Linked DNA regions of Mus musculus. The protein of the gene in region 2 binds, or shares a complex with, the protein of the main gene of each other region. Links are inferred from orthologs where the notes say so. Each region holds a gene or a part of one and is shown on either strand. Other genes may lie near its edges.

Evidence for each region. The genes of interacting proteins can lie anywhere in the genome.
Region 1: Polr2e (region 2) and Gtf2f2 share a complex: the UniProt entries of both Homo sapiens proteins name them as parts of the TBP-based Pol II pre-initiation complex. The link is inferred for Mus musculus from reciprocal best matches to the Homo sapiens genes POLR2E and GTF2F2.

Annotation. Positions count from the first base shown.
Region 1 is NC_000080.6:75,895,964-75,900,340, reverse strand, and holds the end of Gtf2f2 (general transcription factor IIF subunit 2), read left to right. Parts: intron 1-2,687; coding exon 2,688-2,807; 3' UTR 2,808-3,404; downstream 3,405-4,377. UniProt on the Homo sapiens protein: TFIIF is a general transcription initiation factor that binds to RNA polymerase II and helps to recruit it to the initiation complex in collaboration with TFIIB.
Region 2 is NC_000076.6:80,036,287-80,041,745, reverse strand, and holds the start of Polr2e (DNA-directed RNA polymerases I, II, and III subunit RPABC1), read left to right. Parts: upstream 1-2,086; 5' UTR 2,087-2,106; coding exon 2,107-2,163; intron 2,164-3,132; coding exon 3,133-3,307; intron 3,308-4,361; coding exon 4,362-4,558; intron 4,559-4,772; coding exon 4,773-4,831; intron 4,832-4,903; coding exon 4,904-4,982; intron 4,983-5,147; coding exon 5,148-5,213; 3' UTR 5,214-5,219; intron 5,220-5,444; 3' UTR 5,445-5,459. UniProt on the Homo sapiens protein: DNA-dependent RNA polymerase catalyzes the transcription of DNA into RNA using the four ribonucleoside triphosphates as substrates.

The sequences.
Region 1 (4,377 bases), on a different chromosome or scaffold from region 2:
TTACCAAGAGAAAGAGGAGTGCATGGGAACGGCTGGTTTGTAGAATGAAAACTTTTTTGGTTGTGAGCTTAGCCTCTCATCACTGAACCCTCTCTCCACCCCAGTGAAGACTTTCTTACCATGTCATGTTGACCCCTCTTCTGGCTTTTCTGTTTTCTTGGCTAAGATTACAGATAAGCACAGAACTCGGAGTTAGAAGAGCTGCTTTTTTCTGGGTTGCTGAAATGCTCCTGGTGATTGCTGTTTGTGTTTGGGCCACTGCTATCCATCCACAACTGTGTGATTGTTTGTGCAACAGGATCTTAGCAGCCTCACAATGAACCATTCTTTGGAATTTTACAAAGATGTCATTCTTGGCACCTAAACTGAAAATCATTTGTGCCTAACCCATCATTTTCCATTTATGAATCCAGTTTAATTAGAAAGTAGTTTATGAACAGTGCCCCATTTTTCAAGTGTAATTTGAAATAGCAGATGGCAGACGTGCACATTACCTGCTTGCCCAAGCCTAAATGCTTACTCATTCACACTCATGCCTTTAGCAAAGCCAACTATAGAAGGTGTGGGAGGCAGGCAAACCGCCTGGGGAACCCAGGCCTCATTGAGCTCGTTGCTGCCACCTGCTGGGGCCTGTTTGTGGAAGGCTGTCCAATAGACAGATGCTAAGCTTTCCAGTGACCTCACCGAGCTCTAGTCTCTGCTGTTACATTTCTAAAAGACAAGCCTGGTAGTAGTGGTGCATGCCTTTAATTCCAGTACTCAGGAGGTGGAGGCAGAGGCAGGCTGATCTCTCAGTTCCAGGCCAGCCTGGTCTACAGAGAGAGTTTCAGAACAGCCAGAGTTACATAGTGAGACCTTGTCTCAAAAAGAAACAAACTTCTAGATGGCAGCCTATCTGTGGGTTAATGGATTGTGCTCCATTGTTTCAGATCAGCAGGTAGGGATTTGACTATTTGGTAACATGGCCCCTTGAGGTTCTGAGAACAAAGGATATCAAGAGCTCAAAATCCCTGGAGTGTGGGAGCTGTAACAGCCTCGGAGCAGATAGCGTGATCTTCAGAATCTTGGCTAGGGACTTGGACAGAGAAAGGAAGAACACAAATTTGAGCTCAGTCTGGACCGCCTAATGACACCATGTCTCAAAAAAACAAGGACAGTTTGGGTCTGGTGGCACTTGGAGGCAGAGCCAGGGAGATCTCCCCTAGTTTAGGGCAAGCCTGGTCTACATAGAATGTTGCAGGCTAGCCTAGGCTGTATTGTCAGACCCTATTTATAAAGGGAGGGGTCATAGTGGCAAATGCCTTTAATCCCAGTACTCTGAAAGCAGAGGCAGGTAAATGTCTGAGTTTGAAGCTAGCTGGTTTCATAAGAGAGTTCCTGGCCAGCCAGGGCTACAGAGTAAAATCCTGTCCATATGTGCACACACAGGGGTTTGTTAAAGATTCACACATAATGTGGTTTGGGTAGTAGTGCATTCGGTGCAAATATTATCTAGACAGGAGTTCTTCAACCATTAGTGCCTCTCGTTTTGGTGAATTATATATCCTCCTGCAGTGAGAAGAGCCATCTTGACATTGTGCCTAGTTCTTTGAAGCAGATACTCAGAAGTTGGATTGGGTGGGGTGTTTGTTAGTTGGTTGGTTGGTTGGCAGGACACATCACTTGTGAATAATTAGCTTTCTTTTCTAGAGGTTACTGTCATTTGTATTATTGGTCAATGGGTGCTTCAGTGGGCTTTGGCAAACAAAGGCAGGGTTTTGTAGTCCACTTAACACAGTCTTAATTTCCACGACTCCAGTAATCATTTGGGAAGCAGGTTCTGGGGACATAAAATAATGTAAGCCGAGCACAGGAAGCCTGCGCCCTCTCGTTCTTAGTCTTCTCTCTGCTATGGCAGGCTCGGGCAACACAAAGTTTCAGGCTACCCCTTTCCTTATTCCACAGGGAAGGGGTAGTCTGAAACTCAGAAGATCCATCTTAGGTCAGATGGGGTGTGGCTCACGATTTTATTCCCTGCACTCAGAAAACAGAGGCTCATGGAACTCTGGCAGTTGAGGCCTGTCTAGCATAATGAGATCCTGTCTTTAAAGAAAAGCATATCTTACAGAAGTAGGAGTTGTAGGTACTCATCATATGCTTGCTTGCTTGACTATTATTTCCTATCCCTACAGGGTGTGTCATTTATATGGATGCTCATAAAACTGTTGATTGTAGTCTGTGGACTGATTGTTAAGTCACTAAAGTCAAGAGCAGATTGCCCTCCATTGAATTCAGTAAACATGGAGCAGCCATTACAGTATATTTTCCTCTAGATTCCTCTCTGTTTAGGACTTCCAGGCCTTTGATGCACATGGTCCTGTGTTTAGTGAGGAATACGTTGTAGGACTAGAGAAATGGCTCAGTGGGTAAGAGCACTAACTGCTTTTCCGAAGGTTCTGAGTTCAAATCCCAGCACCCACATGGTAGCTCACAATCATCCATAGTGAGATCTGACGCCCTCCTCTGGTGCGTCAAAACATTGTAGAATCAGAAAAAGTTTGTTGAACCCTTTTATAGGAACCCCATTTGGGTTTTAAGGATGCTAGTTTTTGTTACTTGTGAGTATTTAGTGTATTTCATTTTAAGTGTTACTTCCTGCCTTGATAACCTCATCTGTGGTGCTTTTTTTGTTTTGGTTTGGTTTTTAGGGATACCTGAAAGAAATCTTGAAAGAAATTGGCATTCAGAATGTAAAAGGAATTCACAAGAACACATGGGAGCTGAAGCCGGAGTACAGGCATTACCAAACAGAAGAGAAGAGCGACTGAGAGACTCGTGTGCTAAAGAGTCAGTCACAGGCAGGCCTGGCCAGCCCACACCACAAGTTGCCTGCCTGCCTGCCTTGACAGGACAAAGACACCTGGGTCTACCACTCCTCTCAGTAAACTGTTAAAGCTGAGATTCCATAAAAGTTTCTTAAGTGTTTTCTGAAGAGAAAGATGTTATTTATAGACTAAACTCATGTTACACCATTCAGCGGGCATGCTGGCACATGAATGTGTCCAAAACTCAGGAGACTGAGGCAGGCAGGTGTGAGTTTGAGACCAGCCTGGAATACACAGCAAGACCTCCTCCATAGAAGAAAAAAATTATGGTATGGGTGGAGCTCTGGGAATTAAAACTACTTTTGTTTTTATTGGTTAACTTTGCAAGCGTAAATGGGATATCTCCTAAATGAAAATTTTGTCTCTGAGGAACTAAGGTAAGAAAGGAGAAAGGTGGGAGGCAGGGGCATCAGCTAAGAAATGATTACAGGAACACAGAGTCCAAATTCCTTCTGCAACTGAAGAGGGAACTTGTCCCTGTCTGCAGAGGTAATGTTTCACCTCCACACTTAAGTTAATAAAGAGATCTGTTCCCTTTGTACTAGATGGCAACTGTTATCACTGGCTGATTTTACCCTTGTGATACTGGAAAGAGAAACCGTCTAAACTCTAGACAGTTACTGTCCGCTTGGAGAGCTGGCTTAGTGGTCTGGGGCACACACTGCTCTTGCAAAGGATAGGAGTTTGGTTTCCAGCATCCAAGTCAGTTTCTTTCTCAGCTGTTTGTAATTCCAGCCTCAAGGGATCCATGCCCTCTTAGGTCTCCACAGGTCTCCGTGCTTATATGTCCATACATTCACACAGACACAGAAATGAAAATAATTTTTTTAAAAAAATCCCTTAAAATAACAATTGAAAATTAAGTAACATTCCAACTTCAAATTGTATCTCTCTAACCAGATATAAGCTCCTTGGAGACTGGCTTTAGCCTGAGAATTTTACTTCCCACTGTACGGGCAGGGGCTGACCCTTTGCTATCAGATTCTATTGCCAACTAAATCGGGGCTGTCAGGTGGTGCGCTGAGATAGCAAGGGCTGGCGCTGTCTCCCGGCACACCAGGACGCTCTTCTCGTCCTCAGTTGACTGTGGATGGAAACAGTCCATGTACATGATGAGTTTCTTCAGGACAGTGTCATGTGTTAACGCAGTCCAAAGTTGCTCCTGTAAAGCAGAGATGCTCCGACAAAGTAAGCACACAGAGAGGATGCTTAGAGAGAGGATGCCTGCAGCCAGGCGGTTCAGCTGCCAGAAATGTAAGAAAACGCAGAGTACTAAAAGCAAGGAAATAGTTTTTCATTAAGAGAAGGATCTTGCCATGTGATTTGCTCTTGTAAGGAAAATGTTGTCTTCGTCCTCCCACTATAAGCTACAGGTCTGCCTAAGGAAGGCAGTCCTAGTCACCACCCACCCTTAGTGCCTTACTGGCCTCATTCTGGGGTAGGAGCTAAATGTGGTCTGCCCCTTGTCGCCTCCTTTTTTAAATCTTTTATTTATTGTTTGACAATTTCATGC
Region 2 (5,459 bases):
GCGTCAGATCTTGTTACAGATGGCTGTGAGCCACCATGTGGTTGCTGGGATTTGAACTCTGGACCTTCGGAAGAACAGTCGGGTGCTCTTACCCACTGAGCCATCTCACCAGTCCCCGGCCTATGTTTTTGTCTTGGCAGCTGGTGCTGTTTCAGCTGAGTTTTACAGTGTATGGCTCTTCCATCAGCCGTGCTAAGGTCTCGGGGCCTTCACACCGGGATCTAAGCATCTGCTCAGTTATTTGGTTGCTGCCCTCTGTGGATCCTAGGCCAGTGTGGTTGCTGTGGGGTCCCTGGTAGAGAGGCTTCTGCAGTCAGCTGGAGATGGGCTGGGGGACTGGCTGAGAGGGTCCCAGGAAAGGGGCCAGGGAGACCCCAGTCTCACCAGTCACAACAAGGGGCAGGATCCCAGGCACAGAGGAGGTGGGAGGAGGGGCTCCTACATGCAAGGGCTGGAGGACACCCTCAGTGACACTTATCCACATGGCCACTGGGAAGCTCCTAAGGTCCCAAGTACACATACTTAGGCTCTGACTGTTCACTACCACCAATAATGAGAGGGTCATGTCCCCCCTGAAAGTGGAAGTCAGGGGCTCCCCTGCTGGGGGTGGGGGGTGTTCAGCACAGCGCTCACAGAAATCTACCCACTTGGCCTCCAGAATCAAATGCATCGGCCACCACTCCCAGGCCCAGGCAATGCTCTCTTCTCCAAGAAACGTCTTTGCCCATGTCCCCTTCCTTTGCACACTCATGGCTTCTTTGGCCAACTGTAGCAGCCTAAGCCCCTTGGTCTACAGGGTAGATGGTGGGCTCAGTGTACTTGGCAAAAACTTGTCTTTCCCAGTTGGGATCAGCCTAAGTTCTCAGGCAGGAACTGGTGATGATCTGTAGATGAGCTGTCAGACGCACATCAGGACAGAATGGAGGCATCTGGACTTCCAAGGACAGACCTTGCCAGTCTTGGTGGCACACGCCTTTAATCCCAACACTGAGAGGCAGAGGCAGGCCATTCTCTGCGCTGTTGAGACCTGGTCTCTATACCAAATTTCAAGTCAGCACACTCCCCCAAAGAAAAGGAGAGGGCTGGTGAGATGGCTCAGTGGGTAAGAGCACCCGACTGCTTTTCTGAAGGTCCGAAGTTCAAATCCCAGCAACCACATGGTGGCTCATAACCACCCATAATGAGATCTGACTCCCTCTTCTGGAGTGTCTGAAGACAGCTACAGTGTACTTTCATGTAATAAATAAATAAATAAATAAATAAACAAATAAGAAAGAAAGAAAAGGAGAAAGGGGCGTTCCTGTGAACTCCCATTGTATAGTTGGAAGGGTTTAGCCCTGGAATCCCTTTCCCTAGGATTCATTTTCTCACCACCTTCTCAAACTTTTCACGAGTTAGCCCACCATATACACACTTGTTTGTTCATTGTGTGTATGCCCGCACATCGATTGTTTTCATTTTAGATTTTTAGTCGTTTAACTATGTTTATCTGTGTGTCTGCATGTGGGTATAGACCTGTAAGTGTGGCCCTTGGAGGCCAGAGGCATCAGACTCTCTGGAGCTGGAGTTACAAATGGCTGGGGGCCACCTCATGTGGGTGCTTGCATCCGATTTCTCATGTAAAGTGCAGATACACTAATAAAAACTTGTATAAAAAGGGAAATTGAGGCACATGAACCTGGCTGTTCATCACTGGTCTCTTGCTTTCTTTCGAGACAGGGTTTTCTCTGTAGACCTGGCTATAGAGCAGGCTGGCCTCGAACTCACAGATCTGCTTGCCGAGGACGGGGATTAAAGGCGTGGACTACAGCCCGGGAGACGCCTAAGGGAGGGAAATAAAACTGTTATCAGGTCAAGTATCGCGAGATCTTCCCGACGCGCGACACCGCCCCGGTGAAGGCTGGGGCTGCCCAACGCGCAGCCTGTCGTGGAAAGTAGGTTTATTCCGGCGTTCACCTTAGACAGCACGAACCTGGGCGGGGGCCTTCCCAGCCCTTGGCGCAGGCGCACTGCCGGGGGGCGGGGGGCATTTTGTGCGTCCGGCGCAGGCTCCGTGCTGGCAGCTCCACGAGCGCGCGTGCACAGTTGTTTGGGAAGCGCGACAGCATGGACGACGAGGAGGAGACCTACCGGCTGTGGAAGATCCGCAAGACGATCATGCAGGTGATCAAGCGTGAGGAGCTTTATGCGAGCGAGCGTTCAGTTGCGGACTAACTGCGGGTTGTCCGCCGAGGCCCGCCTCCCGCAGGGGCCAATCCTCCTGGATTGGAATGCATCCCCGTTTAAAGTGTGGAGCCCACCCACGCTGGCTTCAACTCTTAGAAATCCTACTGCTTCCACCTCCTAACTCTGCCTCAGGGGAAAAGGCCTGGGTGGGCTCCGTTTCGGGAGAGGGGGCTGCTGCGTGGTCACACTTGGTTTTATGCGAGCTAGGTAGCCGCCCACACGAAAGCTATCAACCATCTGTAACCCCAGTTCCAGGGGATCTGACGCCCTGTCCTGATCTCTGGGGACTCCAGACACACATAGGATGAAAAAACAGTATTTTTAAAAACAGAACAAGCCGGTATGATGGTACACGCCTTTAATCCCAGCACTCTGGAGGCAGAAGCAAGCGAATCTCTTTAAATTAGAAGTCAGCCTCATCTACATAGTGATTTCCAGAATAGACAAAGTCACGCAGAGAAACCCTGTCTTGAAAAAGAAAAAGGGAATAAAAGAAAAAATTCTTGGTTGTTTTGAGTTGAACACATGAGACACCATTATTAGATAAAGAGGTATGCATAGTTTTGACTTATGCTGTGTTGGTGGAGCCCAGGGCCACCTCATGCCTGTTCCTCAGCCCTGATCCTGGATGATGCTCTAGTCTCCCTCATCAGGAACACTCAAGACTGGGGACAGGAAGGTGCCTGTATTCAGAAGGTTGCCTACAGTTGCCAGGGGATTAATCCCAGCCTGCTCCACTGAGGTTGGGGGGAGGAGAGGCTTGGCCGGGCCGCTGTGGTCTGAGCCTATACAGAGTTTGGGTACTGCTGGATCAGTTCAGTGTTAGTCCCCAGCCTCGGCCATTCAGGGTCAGGTCTGCGAGCTAAGTGCTCAGGCTGACTGCCTCTTTGCCTCTTGTCTCTGCAGCTGTGTCATGACCGTGGCTACCTGGTGACCCAGGATGAACTGGACCAGACACTTGAGGAATTCAAGGCGCAGTTTGGGGACAAGCCCAGCGAAGGACGGCCAAGGCGCACAGACCTCACGGTGCTGGTGGCCCACAACGATGACCCCACAGACCAGATGTTTGTGTTCTTCCCAGGTGAGGCCCTTGGGCTGGCAGGAGTGGTCTCCTCCAGGCCCTGGCTCAGGTGCCAGTGAATGCATGTCCCACTCTGGCCTAACGCTGCCTGTAAGATTGTGGCAGCTGCCTGCTTTTGTCCCTGTCTCCCCTGGGAAGCCTCCCTTTTGCTGGTGTCGTTTTCATCCCATAAGCCCCAGAACCAGCTCTCAGCCCTCCACCCCCTGGCTCCTATATGCTGTATTCTATAGCTTCTGCCTGGGAGTCCCAGGGCCAGCTATGCCACCCCCACACCCCCTGTGTGCTGTATTCTACAGCTTCTGCCAGCAGCGCAGGTGTCTTGTGGGAGTGAAGGCTATTGGGGAGCCCAGGACCTCCCTGTGCAGCTACATTCAGTCTCCCCAGACAGCTTGCCTCTTTTAATACCTAATGCTTTGTGGCCCCGGGACCTGGTTTTTAGTGTGAGAATTGGGGGGTGCGGGGATGGGCATGGTAGCATATGCCTGTAAGCCCAGTGTTTGAGAGGCAGAGGCAGGCAGTCGAGGCCAGCCTGGTCTATACAATGACTTCCGGGACAACTATGGAGGGCATTGGTTCTCAGCCTTCCTGATGCTGGGACCCCTTAGTACACTTCACATTGTGACCTCCAACCATAAAATCTTCATTGCTAATTCATAACTAATTTTGCTACTATTATGAGTCATAATGTAAATATACCTGTGTTTATCCAGCAATTTGCAAACTAGGTGGCCTGGGTCTGCTCCTGCGCTCTGCCTGAGGAGACAAGGCTAGCCTCATGTAGACACAGGGTCCATCTCTTGGTCAGTCAGTTTCTCCTTGAGGCTGTCTAAGCTGACAGTACCATATCCCCCAAACCCCAGAGCTGCTGAGAGCCCCCACCCCCGTTCCAGGGGGGCCGCAGTTCCTGCATACCCTGCAGCTTCTGCAGTGATAGCTGAGCCCCCTGGCAGCCCCATCATGGCTGCCTTGATGTTCTAGTCTTCCCTTGCAAGCAGAGAAACTAAGACCACAGGCTCCAGTAGTGAGTGTGAGGGTGGTGCTTGTGTGCCCGCAGAGGAGCCCAAGGTGGGCATCAAGACCATCAAGGTATACTGCCAGCGCATGCAGGAGGAAAACATCACACGGGCGCTGATTGTGGTGCAGCAGGGCATGACGCCCTCCGCCAAGCAGTCCCTGGTGGACATGGCCCCGAAGTATGTGCTGGAACAGTTTCTACAGCAGGAGCTGCTCATCAATATCACAGAGCACGAGGTGTGTGTGGTGGGGTGGGGCGTAGTGCTGCCTGCATCCAGGACACGGGCCGGGGCGGGGTGCTTCCCCGGTTTTGGCCCTGAGCATCCAACTTGGTGATATTAATAGCCTGGTTTTGTCCTCTGTCCCAGCCCCATGACAATACCCATTAGTCTGTTGGTCTGTTGAAGTTCCTGATGGCCGCGTGCCTGTGGGTGGGTCTCTGTCTCCACAGCTAGTCCCTGAGCACGTGGTCATGACAAAGGAGGAGGTGACTGAACTGCTGGCTCGATAGTATCCTTTACTCTGTCCCCACACCCCCCTCACCCCAGCGCTGCCCGCCAGCTGCTTCCTTGACTGTTCTAGCAAGCTTCGTGAGAGCCAGCTACCCAGAATCCAGGCCGGGGACCCAGTGGCACGGTACTTTGGGATCAAGCGAGGGCAGGTGAGAAGCCACAGTGGTTGTTCCCCTCCTAGGCCCTTTGGGAATTATTGGATCTCCCTGGTTCCTCCATCTCCTCCCTGTCTCTGAGGCCAAGACCACCATTGCCATAGGCCAGTGGTCCCAAGGCCCTGCCACCACCACTCCCTCGCCTGCCTGCTCCCACAGGTCGTGAAGATCATCCGCCCCAGTGAGACGGCTGGCCGCTACATCACCTACCGCCTGGTGCAGTAGCCGCAGGTGAGCCCAGCACTGCCCAGATGAGCCTGCTACTTGTCCTTGACCCGGTAGAGGGTCAGAGCTGCACCCACAAAAATAAAATGTAACGGGAGGGTAGGCTTGAATCCTAATGCCCAGGGGCAAAGGCAGGCAGATGTCTGTGAGTTCCAGACCAGCCAGGGCTACATAGTAAGCCTCAGAAAGCAAGCAAACAAACAAACCCAAAACAACCCATACTCTTGCCAGGGGAAACCTAGTGCT